Linked DNA regions of Drosophila melanogaster. Each later gene encodes a partner of the first gene's protein in a complex. Each region holds a gene or a part of one and is shown on either strand. Other genes may lie near its edges. The genes, in order: Spt20, wda and Sgf29.

Region 1 (3,754 bases):
TGGCGTGACCCGCCTCCGTCTTGGATTGACTTTCGTCCTGGGCTAGCGGCTTGGGACGACTCCGATGACTGCCCGTTCCCGTACCCAATCCCGCAGCATCGCTCGAGGTCTCGTCCTTGTCCGTGGGGGACCATTCGTTTGTTTGCGGATTTAGCACCATGTGCTCGTCATAATGCAGGGCCAGCGAGTATCCCTTATTGCCGGGATACAAGTTGACCACAATCGTGTTGAGCTTCTCCCGATCCACCAACCGCTCCAGTGTAAAGGATCGAGTGCGCTGCTTTAGCTGAAAGTGATAAGAGTCCTTACATAAGGTTTCCGCTTTTGATTGGCTCAACACTTACCCCTGTCTCGGCAAAGTAGTTTAGGTCGTTGCTCAGCAGTTGCAGGTACAGGTCCCTTATTTTCTCGTGCAGATTAAAGAACTTGCTGTTGCCCGACTGGCAGACGGATGAAGGTGGCTTGCTGTTGCTATTGGAGGAGGCAGCGCCGGCGCCAGCGCGCGCTGATTGCGACGACGAGGTGGCTGTGGAGACTGATGCGGCGGGTATAGCTGAGCTGCGACTAGAGGAGCTGCTCTCCTTGCTACTGCTATTGGACTTCTGGCGCTTGCTGGGCGACGACGTGGGCGATGCCAGGACATGGTGATTGTGCGTCTGGTGGAGGTGATGATGGTGCAGGTGGTGGCCGCCTCCACTGGCTGTTGAGTTGGCGGAGGGTGGCCGCTTCTCGGACTTCTTGCTGGACACACTGGCCGCTCCCGTTGAGCTATTGCTTAGACTGGAGTTAACGCCCGGCGGTGTCGACAGCAGAAGATCGGGCACCACCGGCGACGGCGACGTGATTGAGTTGAAGTTCGACATCGTTGTGGTGGAGGATGAGCACGAGGAGGGCGACGGAGCAATTGCAGTGGGCAGGCCGCTGGGCGTGGCCGAGGTCGGCTCCGTGAGCAGGCTGCCCAGTGAGCCGCCAGTGCCCTCGGTGGGGGACTCGTCGTCATCGAAGATACAAATGGGCGGCTGGGCAGGAATCTGTGGTATAGCCTGCAATAGGCTGGTCTCCAGGTACGATTTGCTGCTCGAGGAGGCGAACTGCTGCTGCTGGAGCGTGGGATGCAGCTGATGGTAGGACTGCTGCGGCTGCAGCTGCGGCGAGGATCCAGACGTGCCGTACTGGACGAACTGCGTCTGGTGGACACCCGAACCGTGGGCGTGGACCGCTAGGCCCTGGACATGGTCCGCGTTGCTGGAACCCTTTAACTTTTTGAGCGTGTCATTTATAATAAACTGTCGAAAAATAAAGTGTAAAATGGGAATTAATCGTATTCAGGCTGCATGAAAAATGCCACAGTTCTTACGTCGGCTTCTTGGCATGAGGAGTCCAGGCTTTGCATGGTGGTGCCAGCGGATTGCTAGGGGAGATCCAACGGAGGATGGCGCACCCAATTACCGACGACATCCAAGCACCAGTCTACGAACAATCCTGGCCAGGATCGGCGGCATTCGCATTGCGCTAGCAGGTGTCCGTGTTGCCAGTGAACGTCGAATTACGAATTTCTAGGACCGCAGACGCAGGGCTCCGTTGTTGTCTCCTACTTTCGCTGGCTGCTGCTGCTGCTGCTGCTGTCCATCGGTTAGTTTCGCCACACTCAGCACTCGGCTGTGCCGCATCAGGATCGTTTTGGGGTGCTCCTCGGTCCGTCTGTGTGACGAATCGCTGCACTGGAGGACACTGAGATCGGATCCCGATGGCGATTACTGCGGTTTCTTCACTCTTTTTCCACTTCCACTGCTGCTGCTGCTTTGCGTGACATTTTCTCTCTGCGCCCCTCTGCCGACGAACTCTCTTTCTGGCGCTGCTGCTCCGTGAATTTGCAAGGTCGCGCGCTCTGCTGCGGTTATGGGGCGAACAGTGGGCTGGTTCTTTAATGATACGCCGAGGATTGCTCGCTTTTAATTGTTTTAAAACTTTGTTTTATGCTTTTTTTTGCAATGTAAATGTACTGTACGATTCGTGCCGTGCGAATGCCAACAATCGTTATCGTTCGCTGTGAATGGCATTGTCGCCGTTCCGTCTGCCGTTAGTGGTGTGTGCACATTGGCTGCCCATGCACTGTGTGCTGTTAGGCGCGCGCTGTTAACGCTCTGTTAGCCGCCCAACAGTCATTTGAAAATTCAAAATATGCAATTCAAAATCTGAAATTTTGCAGTTTATTTCCCACTTTCGGTGAATGAATAGACAGACTTTGTAGGATTGTTTACTTATGTTTAATAGGTATATTATTAAGGATTAGTCTCTACCAACTAAGCGTTAAGAATACAAAATTTTGTCACTTGTACGTATACACTTTGTCATACACATTTATCCATATATATGTAAATATTCATATATATATATATATAATTATATCCGCGCGCTAACCGTTATCAATATTCAATAAAATCATTATATCAGAAACTTGTAATACACTCGCAGTTGAAGAATTTCCGTTCACATCAGCATGAGATCTTTAAACGTTAATTGTGTAGTTTGAAATATTTATAATAAAAACAGCTCTTGAGTTGAATCGTTGAGGATCAGGGGTTGCTTTTGGGTTGGGTTGTGTTGAGTTCTGTTGGGAATTGGGATCGGGATCGGGATCGGGTTGTGTGCGGGTTGGTGGGTGATTTGCTCGCTTGCTCCTCCTCTACTCCTTGTGCCCGCCCTGCAGCTTCTTCCAAGTTTCGCCCAGCGCCTTGGCAAAGTGGTCGTCCACCGAGGCTTCAGTCTTGGTGAATATCGAGATATTCGTGGACGAGGTGGGCGAAGCGGGCGGCGTCTGCGTCGAGGAGGCAGCCACGGCCGCCAGTCCCGGTTCAGCCTTCACCCGAATGATGGCCGGCATGCTGGGCGTGGGCGTGGGAATCTGCGACGGCGTCGGATTCGGAGTTGGTGTCGGTGTCAAAGTCGGCGCCACAACGGTGGTTCCGGCTATTCCGTAAGCCGGCGGTGGAGGCGGTGGTGTGTTGTATCTCGGCGGCGTGTGGTGTGGCGTGTCCAGGATCCGCCTGCCCGCCACCGCTGCCTCCATCACCTGGCTGACGGCCGTGGGTAGCGCTGGTGCCGATCCCGTGGCCGAAGGTGGCGGCGATGGCGGCGTTTGGGTGCGATGCAGTGCCAGCGACAGGGGAAGCGGTTCCTCCTGCGGCGGCGGCAGTTCCGGCTGCAGCGATTCGGGCTCCAGAATGACCCATCCCGACTTGGCCAGCGGCGAGCGTTGCTGCTGGTAGTGCTGCGATGCCGCTGTGCTGGTTGATGAAGGCAGTCCGTAGGCCAGTGGCGAAACCTGCTGCTTAGGTGTACCACTTGGCGAGGGCGTGGGTGTTGGCGTAGGCGTCGGTGACTTCTTGGCGAACAGGGCAGCATAGTTCTCGCCCAGTGAGCGTCGGAAGTGCTCGTCAATGTCGCACATCGCCATATCTGCAAGGCAAATCAAAGCATCAGGTTAGTATGATCGTTGACACTAATGTGCATATATGACTTCTCACCTGTAGAGTGGGCCTGCTCCGGTGGTTCTCGCTTGGGTGGAGCCTGGGTAATGACGCTGGGTCGACTGTTGGCCGCGTAGTTGGTCCCAGGCAAGGGTTCGCGATAGGGTGGCGGCGGTGAGGCTCTCTGCTTCAGAGCTCCCGTCGTCACCGACATGTCAATGGGACTGTCCATGTCGCGATCCTCTCGATCCCGCTCCCGTTCCCGCTCCCTCTCGCTGTTGCCT
Region 2 (3,754 bases), on another chromosome or scaffold:
TTTAGTTGATTAAAAATTGAAAAATAAAACCAATACTAAACCTGGAAGATGAACTTACTAGGAGTTATCAGCATATTTGCAATGTCGCGCCCTGTTGCGTTCCCGTCTCTCCTCCTCAGAGCACTTGACATCCTCATCGCTGCTGTCCTCATCCGTCTCCTCCTCTTGATTCGCGCAATTGTTCAGCTCCCAGGGACACCGCTTTTGCGGATAGCGTCTGTAGAAGCTCTTGCCGCGGCAGTAGCTCTGGTTTAACTGCCACAGCTGTACGGCAGAATTGTCGAACCCGGCTAACATGTGGCACTCACTGGGATCCAGATGGGCGGAGGTGAGGCCCCGAGAACGTTCACTGATTCTGAGAAATCGCGGCAACTCCACCTGAGACTTGAGTATCTGTTCAGTGGCCGATTTAAGGGTGTCCAAGCAGGCGTCTATATTCAGTTGTAATTTACTAAGCTCTGCAGATTCATCCGTTTCTACCTCCTGTTTGATGTCTGTTTCTAGCATAATGTTTGGCTCCTCAGCGGGTCGTTTTCGGTTCGACTTTTCAGTGAGGGATTTGCTTGGTCTTATGTCTCCGCGGGTATTAAGGGTTACTGCTGGTTTGGAAACAACATCGTCCTCTCCATCCTCACCTTCCAGGTCATCCGTCAAGCCAAGCAGGTGATCCTCACTAAAGGCGCGCTGCTCATTCTCCACTATATGGACATGCAACCAGGTGTAGAGTAGGTTCATAATTAAAACGTGGCCCCGTCGTTGGAGATAAGCGCATATCCTATTAACAACTACGGCTGTAGTATGTAGTTCGTATTTCGAAGATCGAAAATGGGCCACTGTGTCATCGGACTCTGCTGCCTCCAGCCGTGTGTAGCCACTCAGGGTTTGCACCAGGCGCATAAAGTAGTCCAGTTCCGTGTCCCCAGTGTCCTGGGCTTCCTTTGCGAAGCGTATGTTAAAAGTGGACTCATTGGCCGTAGTGGAGCATCCGTTGATCTTGGTAGGTGGTGGTGCATCGTACATATCCACGGGGGCCACCAAGTGAGCATATTTGCGCAACAACTCCACAGCGCCACGCGGTTCGCGAGCCTTGAGCAGATCCAGATAGAAGTGGCACAGCATGGGTCCATAAAAGCGCTTCATTTCCAGACGCAGCGGTTCGGCCTGGGCCTCCACGAACTGCGAAAACCGACCAAATTGCTGGTCCACAGTGTGCTGGTTGTTGGTGATAACCTGGACATTTGAAAAGGTGAAGCTATTGCCACCGTGCAAATCCGTATCCAGCATTTTGTTGACAGCAAACTGCTGTTTGTTTTGCAGCAGCAAAAAATCCGACCGCCGAAATCGTTCGTTGCTCTACGGGTTTGAATATTTGAACACTCTGAGGAATTGTATATTTGAAGATTATTCACTTACCACGTAGTTTTTCTGCTTCAGCAGGAGTCCCACGGCGCAGCGTAGCAAATCGTTTTTGGAGGAGGTCTTTTTGCTGCTCGCGCTCGACTTGTTGTTATTGCTGTTGCTGTAGACGGGCGATGCAGCATGTGCGTGGTTGCTGGCGCTGGGCAGGCTCATCGTTGCGTGTTAGCCTCGCTTTGTTCCGTATCCTGATCCCGTCCTGCAGTGCGTCCGATATGCGTTCGATTATAGTGCTGACAGCGGAGATGGGTTGTCCTATCGATGTGCATTCATCGATTTTAAGCGGCTGCAACAGCTGTTCTTTCAAAATTGTTTTCGTCAGTGATGGCTATTTGGCTTCTCTTTTATAACAATATTGATATTGAAATATTTTAATTTTAAATTTATTTTTACATTTTTAACTTATATTTATATTATATTTTATTTATATTAACTAGCTTTTTATTTTTAGCTCTATTATATTCTCTATTCTTAGCTAGTTTATTTGGCTATTGTCACCACTGAAGAAAGTCAGCTGTTTGTGTTGTTGGATTCCCGAGCGCTCTTGACAATTTCTTGTATTTTCGCTGCGGTATCTCAGTTCGAGTTTTTACGTGATATAAAACAGTACCTGGTCTTCAAAAAACGAGCCATTATGGGCACCACGACAAAGTTTGTGAACGAGTTCTGTGATATTATCGATTCCTATGGCGGGCGAGATAAGGTAACATAGAAGAGCCGCACAGCCGAGTAAATTTCCAATTAATTGAAAACACACCTGTTTGTTTACGTTTGAACCGAGTGTTTTTCCCAATTCGTATGCGCAAATTTAAAAAAATGCATCGTGGCATTTTGACTGGTTTCTATTTCCTTTTTGGACTGGTCCATTGAGGGGCTCGCTTGAAATCGAAACTGAACCAACAGGTTTCCATGTTGTTGCTGCATCGATGTTGGCATTGGTCTTTGGGTCTCGAACAAGGAAGCCACAGCAGTTTGGACCTTGCCTTACTTCTTTCTGATTCGCAATGGATTTTGTATTTCGCTTTTCGCTTATCAGTCGCAGTTCGGCGGCGATCGAGTCAAGATAATGCTCAATACTATAGCCGGCAAACCTTTAAGCCGCTACCAGATAAAGCGGATAATTCGTTATGAACGAAAGGTTTGTTTGGACTGCCGCCCATCAGGAGACACGCGATCCACACATTTCCACCATCGCGAGTTTATATACCCCTACAAGGGGTGTATACAGTGCAGACAAAGAGGGAATCTTGTATAGTGTATCTCTATTTTAATAGAAAAATCGAACCTTGAATACGATAAAATATTGTTCAAAGTATTTTAGATTTATTAATTAGAACAAATAATTTGTTATACTTGATAACCATTTGAAAATATAATATAATATATTATGTGGCTGTAAACAGCGAATGGGGTGGTCACGAACTTTGGAAATACTATAGGATATTTACATAAATTAGTCGTATAGCGACATTAGTATTCCTCCGAATTGCATAACTAATTCATTGATGGCAAAGCAAGCAAACTGAACCATTAATGGGTAAACAATGAAACCACCCACAACTCATTCCGGCCAGGACGGACGACCAGGAGCACTCCACTGGCGGCCATCACACGAGATGATTGTGGCATTCGTTGTATTCTTTTTATCGCTGATAGTATTTTATCTGTTTGTGACAACCAAGCAATTCCACAAATTGCAGGGCTGACTGGCGATTGGGGTCAGGTAGAGGCAAAGGTAAACAGCGATGCCAACTCTCGTGATAGAGCAAACACACGGCTTAACGAATTGCGCAGAACAATTATTACATATATGAAATTAAATACCTATTTCAGGTGATGAAGGCATTGTGCTACAGTGCCAAACTGGTGGCTGGCTACCATGCCAAGCGGAATCCGGAACTAGCCAAGCGATACGCCACCGCCAGCTCAAGGATCTCAGGTGCGAGAGCCACACTGCGTCTCATCGACGACATACCCATGATCCAATATGCTTTGGAGTATGGCTTGGGCGAGAATGAGCCCGATCGCGTCATGCAAGTGCTGGGAGTGACGGCCAACATTGTGGATTTGCTCTACTATCCCATCGAGAAGGTGTGCTGGCTGGCCGAGCACAAGATTGTGGATGTCAAGAATGCGGATAACTGGGACAATGTCAACTCCATATTCTGGGTGCTTTCGGTGTACCTGAACCTCATGAGGTACAGAAGAATTATTCGAATCGTCAGCTTTGAATTTTCAAATTAAATTGCATCTTCTAGGACAATGCGGAATTTTTCACTGAATCAGGAAAAGCTGAACCGAACGAATAATATAAACGAGTAAGTGGTCGTCAGCCGAA
Region 3 (3,754 bases), on another chromosome or scaffold:
TCTAATTGTACGTCATCCTCGTCCAGAAGGCTGGTTTCGAACAAATTAGACACTTTGAGGATATCAAAACAGTTTCCATTTTCCGCCGTGCCATTGGTCTGCGTCGCTAAGCTCGTTTTACTCATCTTATAAGCCTGCCTTTCCCCTTTGTTTTCCTACAAACTTTAAAGTCTATTTATTTTTTTTAGGAAATCAATGTAACCGTTCTCCAAAAAATCCGGTATTAAAATACCACCCTGAAATTACTTTCTTCTTATTCCAGACAGAAACCAGTCTATTGTGAATTGAATACAATTTTAATTGGAGCTATTATTACAATTACATTTAATTCTTAAAGTTAAGATAATACATTTTTTATGCTGATGATAGATTCCCGCTGCCACTGCCAGCCCCCTTTTTCGTTGGACGATATGCAATCACATAGCGCTGTGCGACCGGCAAGGGTTCGGCATAGCCATTCGTGTACGATGAATCCTCGAATAGCACCTCGTAATCCTCGGTGGCGGTTTGCGGCAGGCGATGGACAATGGCCTTGTAGAAACAGGTGGTCTGTGGATATAGCGCCATTACCACTGTGTCCTTGGGGAAGAGGGCGTGACCATCGGTCTCAGGATTTGCACGCATTAGAGGCAGTGGGATGACCTTTCGCTTGCTCAGCACATGGCGATCCTTTTGCTCCTCGTCAATGTCAATTACGTCGTATTTGTTTTGACGGTGAAGGAACTGCACCACTTCCGCCAGGATCCAGTTCTCCTCCTCATCAATTCCCTTAGCTAATGCGGCAACATTGTCGCCAACCTATACAGTGGCGTCCGATTAGTCAGATCATCATCCCAGCTTCTTTGTCCAATCAAAATGAATGCTTACCTTGGCCACATAGTTCCCCTCGGCGGGAATGGCTCCACATAGAGCTGGTGCTCGTTCTCCTAGTTTGCCAACGAATAACGGCAACGTTTGCGCTGAGAGCTGCACCATTTTCATAAGGGCGCCCCGTCGAATGGCCTCCTTATTTCCAGCGTTGCGAGCTGTGGAATATGCGAGATTAAATCCTGTTTATACATCCCATCACTAACCCACCTTGGATGCGCCTCTCATTGCGAATGCTTCGAATCTCGTGGATTTTCGCCAGTGCGGCTCGGATTGTGGCCTCCTCCTGCGCAGCCTCCGTTAAACTGGCCTTGAGCAGGGGCTTAACCTTCTGATTGGTGGCGTGCAGAGATCGCACCAGACTAGCAATGGAGTTTTCCGCACGACGACGCTCCTCGTCCACATTGTGAATGTTTTGTTGAATGTCCTTCAGGCGATCCTGTAAATGCCATATAAATATAGTATATATCGACATTTATTGTTAACATCTTTACCTGAATCTGTTGGGCGGCACTCTCCGCAGTCAGTGGCATGTTGTTTCGATATTATAACAATATAATAAATTTGTTTTTTGAACACTTTGTTTACCTACGCAATGAAAACAAAAACAAGCATAAGCGTAAAGTCGACAACGCGTTAGTATTAACTATGCGATAGTTTTATATTTTACCTCAGTATTTTTTTAATCTTAGCAAATTTTATTTTACAGAGTAAAACAGAGTAATTATTGTTAAGATTTTTGTACCGTATAATCTCATTATTTGACTTTAGTGGATCTTTTTCTCAAACTCGAATATTTACTTTTCAAAGTTGTTTACGTTTCTTACATTGGAGATGGAAGCAAGTGCGCCTAACAGCACGCAGATAACAGCACGATATCTTCACGTGGTTGGCGTTATTTAGTCCCTTTTCTGCGCTCTATGACAGCCTCTCTGGCTTTCCCTTCTTTTCCATCGCGTTTCCGTAAGTGTGCTCCGCGTTTTTCCAATTGGCTATTTTTATTTATAATATCTTCAATTGCAGCTAGGAATTCCAGTGTGCGAAAAACGTAGGTGCCTAATACACGAGAAATGCAACGAAAATTTCAACAGTTGTTGGCTTTTTGTTCAACTGGCGTTGGCTAAAAGTGAACTCCAAGTGTTAACCCCAAGCTAAAATTATAATGGCGAACATTTTTTCTGTTTTCATGTGCCGCCCCATCAACGAATCTTTGGATACCCGGAGTAGTTTAAGATGGCCAAGTCCAAGAACCACACAAATCACAACCAGAACAAGAAGGCCCATCGTAATGGCATCAAGCGCCCGCTGCGCAAACGCCACGAGTCCACTCTGGGTGTAAGTATTCAAAAATATGCATATTTAGTTAGCATCTAGAGTTGATTTTAACAACCTTCCCGTCTTTAGATGGATGTGAAATTTCTGATCAACCAGCGCTACGCACGCAAGGGAAACCTTTCCCGCGAGGAGTCCGTGAAGCGCTACAACGAGCGCATCGCTTCCCAGAAGGGCAAGCCAAAGCCTGTTACTCTGTAGATGATTGCCCCGCGTGTGGATAATTAAAGGACAATTCAGTTTAACAAAGAACCGTCTTTATTTGTGTTGCCGTCGTTAGTAGTAGATGCTCAGCACCTTGTGGAAGGGAATGTGCTCCAGGTCGGCATTGTGCCGACGCCGGTAGTCCCACAGATATTGGTCGATCACAATGGAGTTGACGTTGTCCAGTGAGATTTCGGGGTGCTGCTCCTTGAGTATCTTCACCACAGCATCCCTAACTTGTTCGATGATGTATATAGATGCGCCGCGTATCTCCACCTCTCGGGGATCGCCGTTCTCCAGAATAGTATCCGTCTTTAGGAACTCCATTAGCTCACTGGTGTACTCCAAACTGCCGAAGTGCACTAGCACCTGGGGAATTCGGTAGTCAGCGAACATGGTTATCTGATCGATGTCATTAAAGAACCCAAGTCCCTGACCTCTGTAGCAGGACCACACATCGCCCACTAGGATTTGCGCTCGTTTTAGGATGGAAACTCGCTTTCCAGCAAACTCAGCCTCATCGCGAAAACAGGGAAACTCCTCCACAACGAGATCCAGCAAGCGAACTGCCGATTTCTCCGCCTTCTTGATAACATTCTCAAAACTGCCGTCGTACTTGTCGATCAGAACTTTTCCCACTTCATGGAGCGATTCCAGACGCTTTTGGAGCAGCGGAATCACTGTCTCGCCATCGTCAGAGCGGAAAATGTTCTCCACGGTTTTCAGATCAATCTGGGAATAGAACTTGGGATTGATCACATCCACGCCTTCCTTGATGGCTCTCTTAATCGCAGCACACAGCGCAAAGTAGCCGGTATAGCCATCGACCTTATATTTGGTGTAGTTATCTGCGGAAGATTACCATTGAAGATAGTGGATGCTGCTATAAATATCAATTACTCACTGGGGGTCCAAAAGCAAAAGTTCAGGGTGTCCAACACAAAGACCCAGTCGGCTGCTTTGGAATAATCCTCCGGCTGATTTGGATTGGGATGTAATTCGTGCTGCGAGAAGTTTTCCACAGCAATGCGTTTTTCTATTAGGCCTTTTACGATTTCCTGGGTCAGTTTCTCAATGCCTGCAGGCAGAATACGAACATGCTTGGCATTTTCTACGATATAGGCTCCAGATTCCCGGGGACTTAGTTTGCTGCTGGACATTTTAACAATTTTATTAATGTTTTTAATTAAGATGTCGCGACTTTTGGCGCTGTAACAGGCGTTTTGGTTTATTTAGGAGATTCGGGATGGTAAGTAGTCTGGTAACGCCACCAGGGCTGCAGACACGCCAGAACAGTTTCGGCCCGGTGGCAGCGCTGAAATAACACATGAAGGAGCTGCGAATTTCGCTC

The links.
Region 2: Spt20 (region 1) and wda share a complex: the UniProt entries of both Drosophila melanogaster proteins name them as parts of the spt-Ada-Gcn5 acetyltransferase (SAGA) complex.
Region 3: Spt20 (region 1) and Sgf29 share a complex: the UniProt entries of both Drosophila melanogaster proteins name them as parts of the spt-Ada-Gcn5 acetyltransferase (SAGA) complex.

Annotation. Positions count from the first base shown.
Region 1 is NT_037436.4:13,500,988-13,504,741, reverse strand, and holds the start of Spt20 (Spt20), read right to left. Parts: upstream 2,036-3,754; 5' UTR 1,394-2,035; coding exon 1,358-1,393; intron 1,287-1,357; coding exon 345-1,286; intron 287-344; coding exon 1-286. Other genes in the region: Tgi (Tondu-domain-containing growth inhibitor), read right to left, coding at 2,687-3,459, 3,528-3,754. UniProt on the Drosophila melanogaster protein: Component of the transcription regulatory complex SAGA, a multiprotein complex that activates transcription by remodeling chromatin and mediating histone acetylation and deubiquitination. The SAGA complex predominantly acetylates histone H3.
Region 2 is NT_033777.3:23,256,428-23,260,181, forward strand, and holds the start of wda (will decrease acetylation), read right to left. Parts: upstream 1,661-3,754; 5' UTR 1,573-1,660; coding exon 1,414-1,572; intron 1,354-1,413; coding exon 59-1,353; intron 1-58. Other genes in the region: Pex11c (peroxin 11c), read left to right, coding at 2,483-2,554, 3,250-3,614, 3,675-3,734. UniProt on the Drosophila melanogaster protein: Component of the transcription regulatory complex SAGA, a multiprotein complex that activates transcription by remodeling chromatin and mediating histone acetylation and deubiquitination. The SAGA complex predominantly acetylates histone H3.
Region 3 is NT_033778.4:21,291,960-21,295,713, forward strand, and holds Sgf29 (SAGA-associated factor 29kDa), read right to left. Parts: upstream 1,688-3,754; 5' UTR 1,538-1,687; intron 1,483-1,537; exon of another isoform or gene 1,456-1,482; 5' UTR 1,401-1,455; coding exon 1,362-1,400; intron 1,307-1,361; coding exon 1,078-1,306; intron 1,026-1,077; coding exon 868-1,025; intron 799-867; coding exon 355-798; 3' UTR 280-354; downstream 1-279. Other genes in the region: CG30392 (uncharacterized protein), read right to left, coding at 1-125; RpL29 (ribosomal protein L29), read left to right, coding at 2,101-2,202, 2,272-2,400; CG9752 (uncharacterized protein), read right to left, coding at 2,476-3,251, 3,308-3,563. UniProt on the Drosophila melanogaster protein: Component of both the SAGA and CHAT histone acetyltransferase complexes, which both predominantly acetylate histone H3.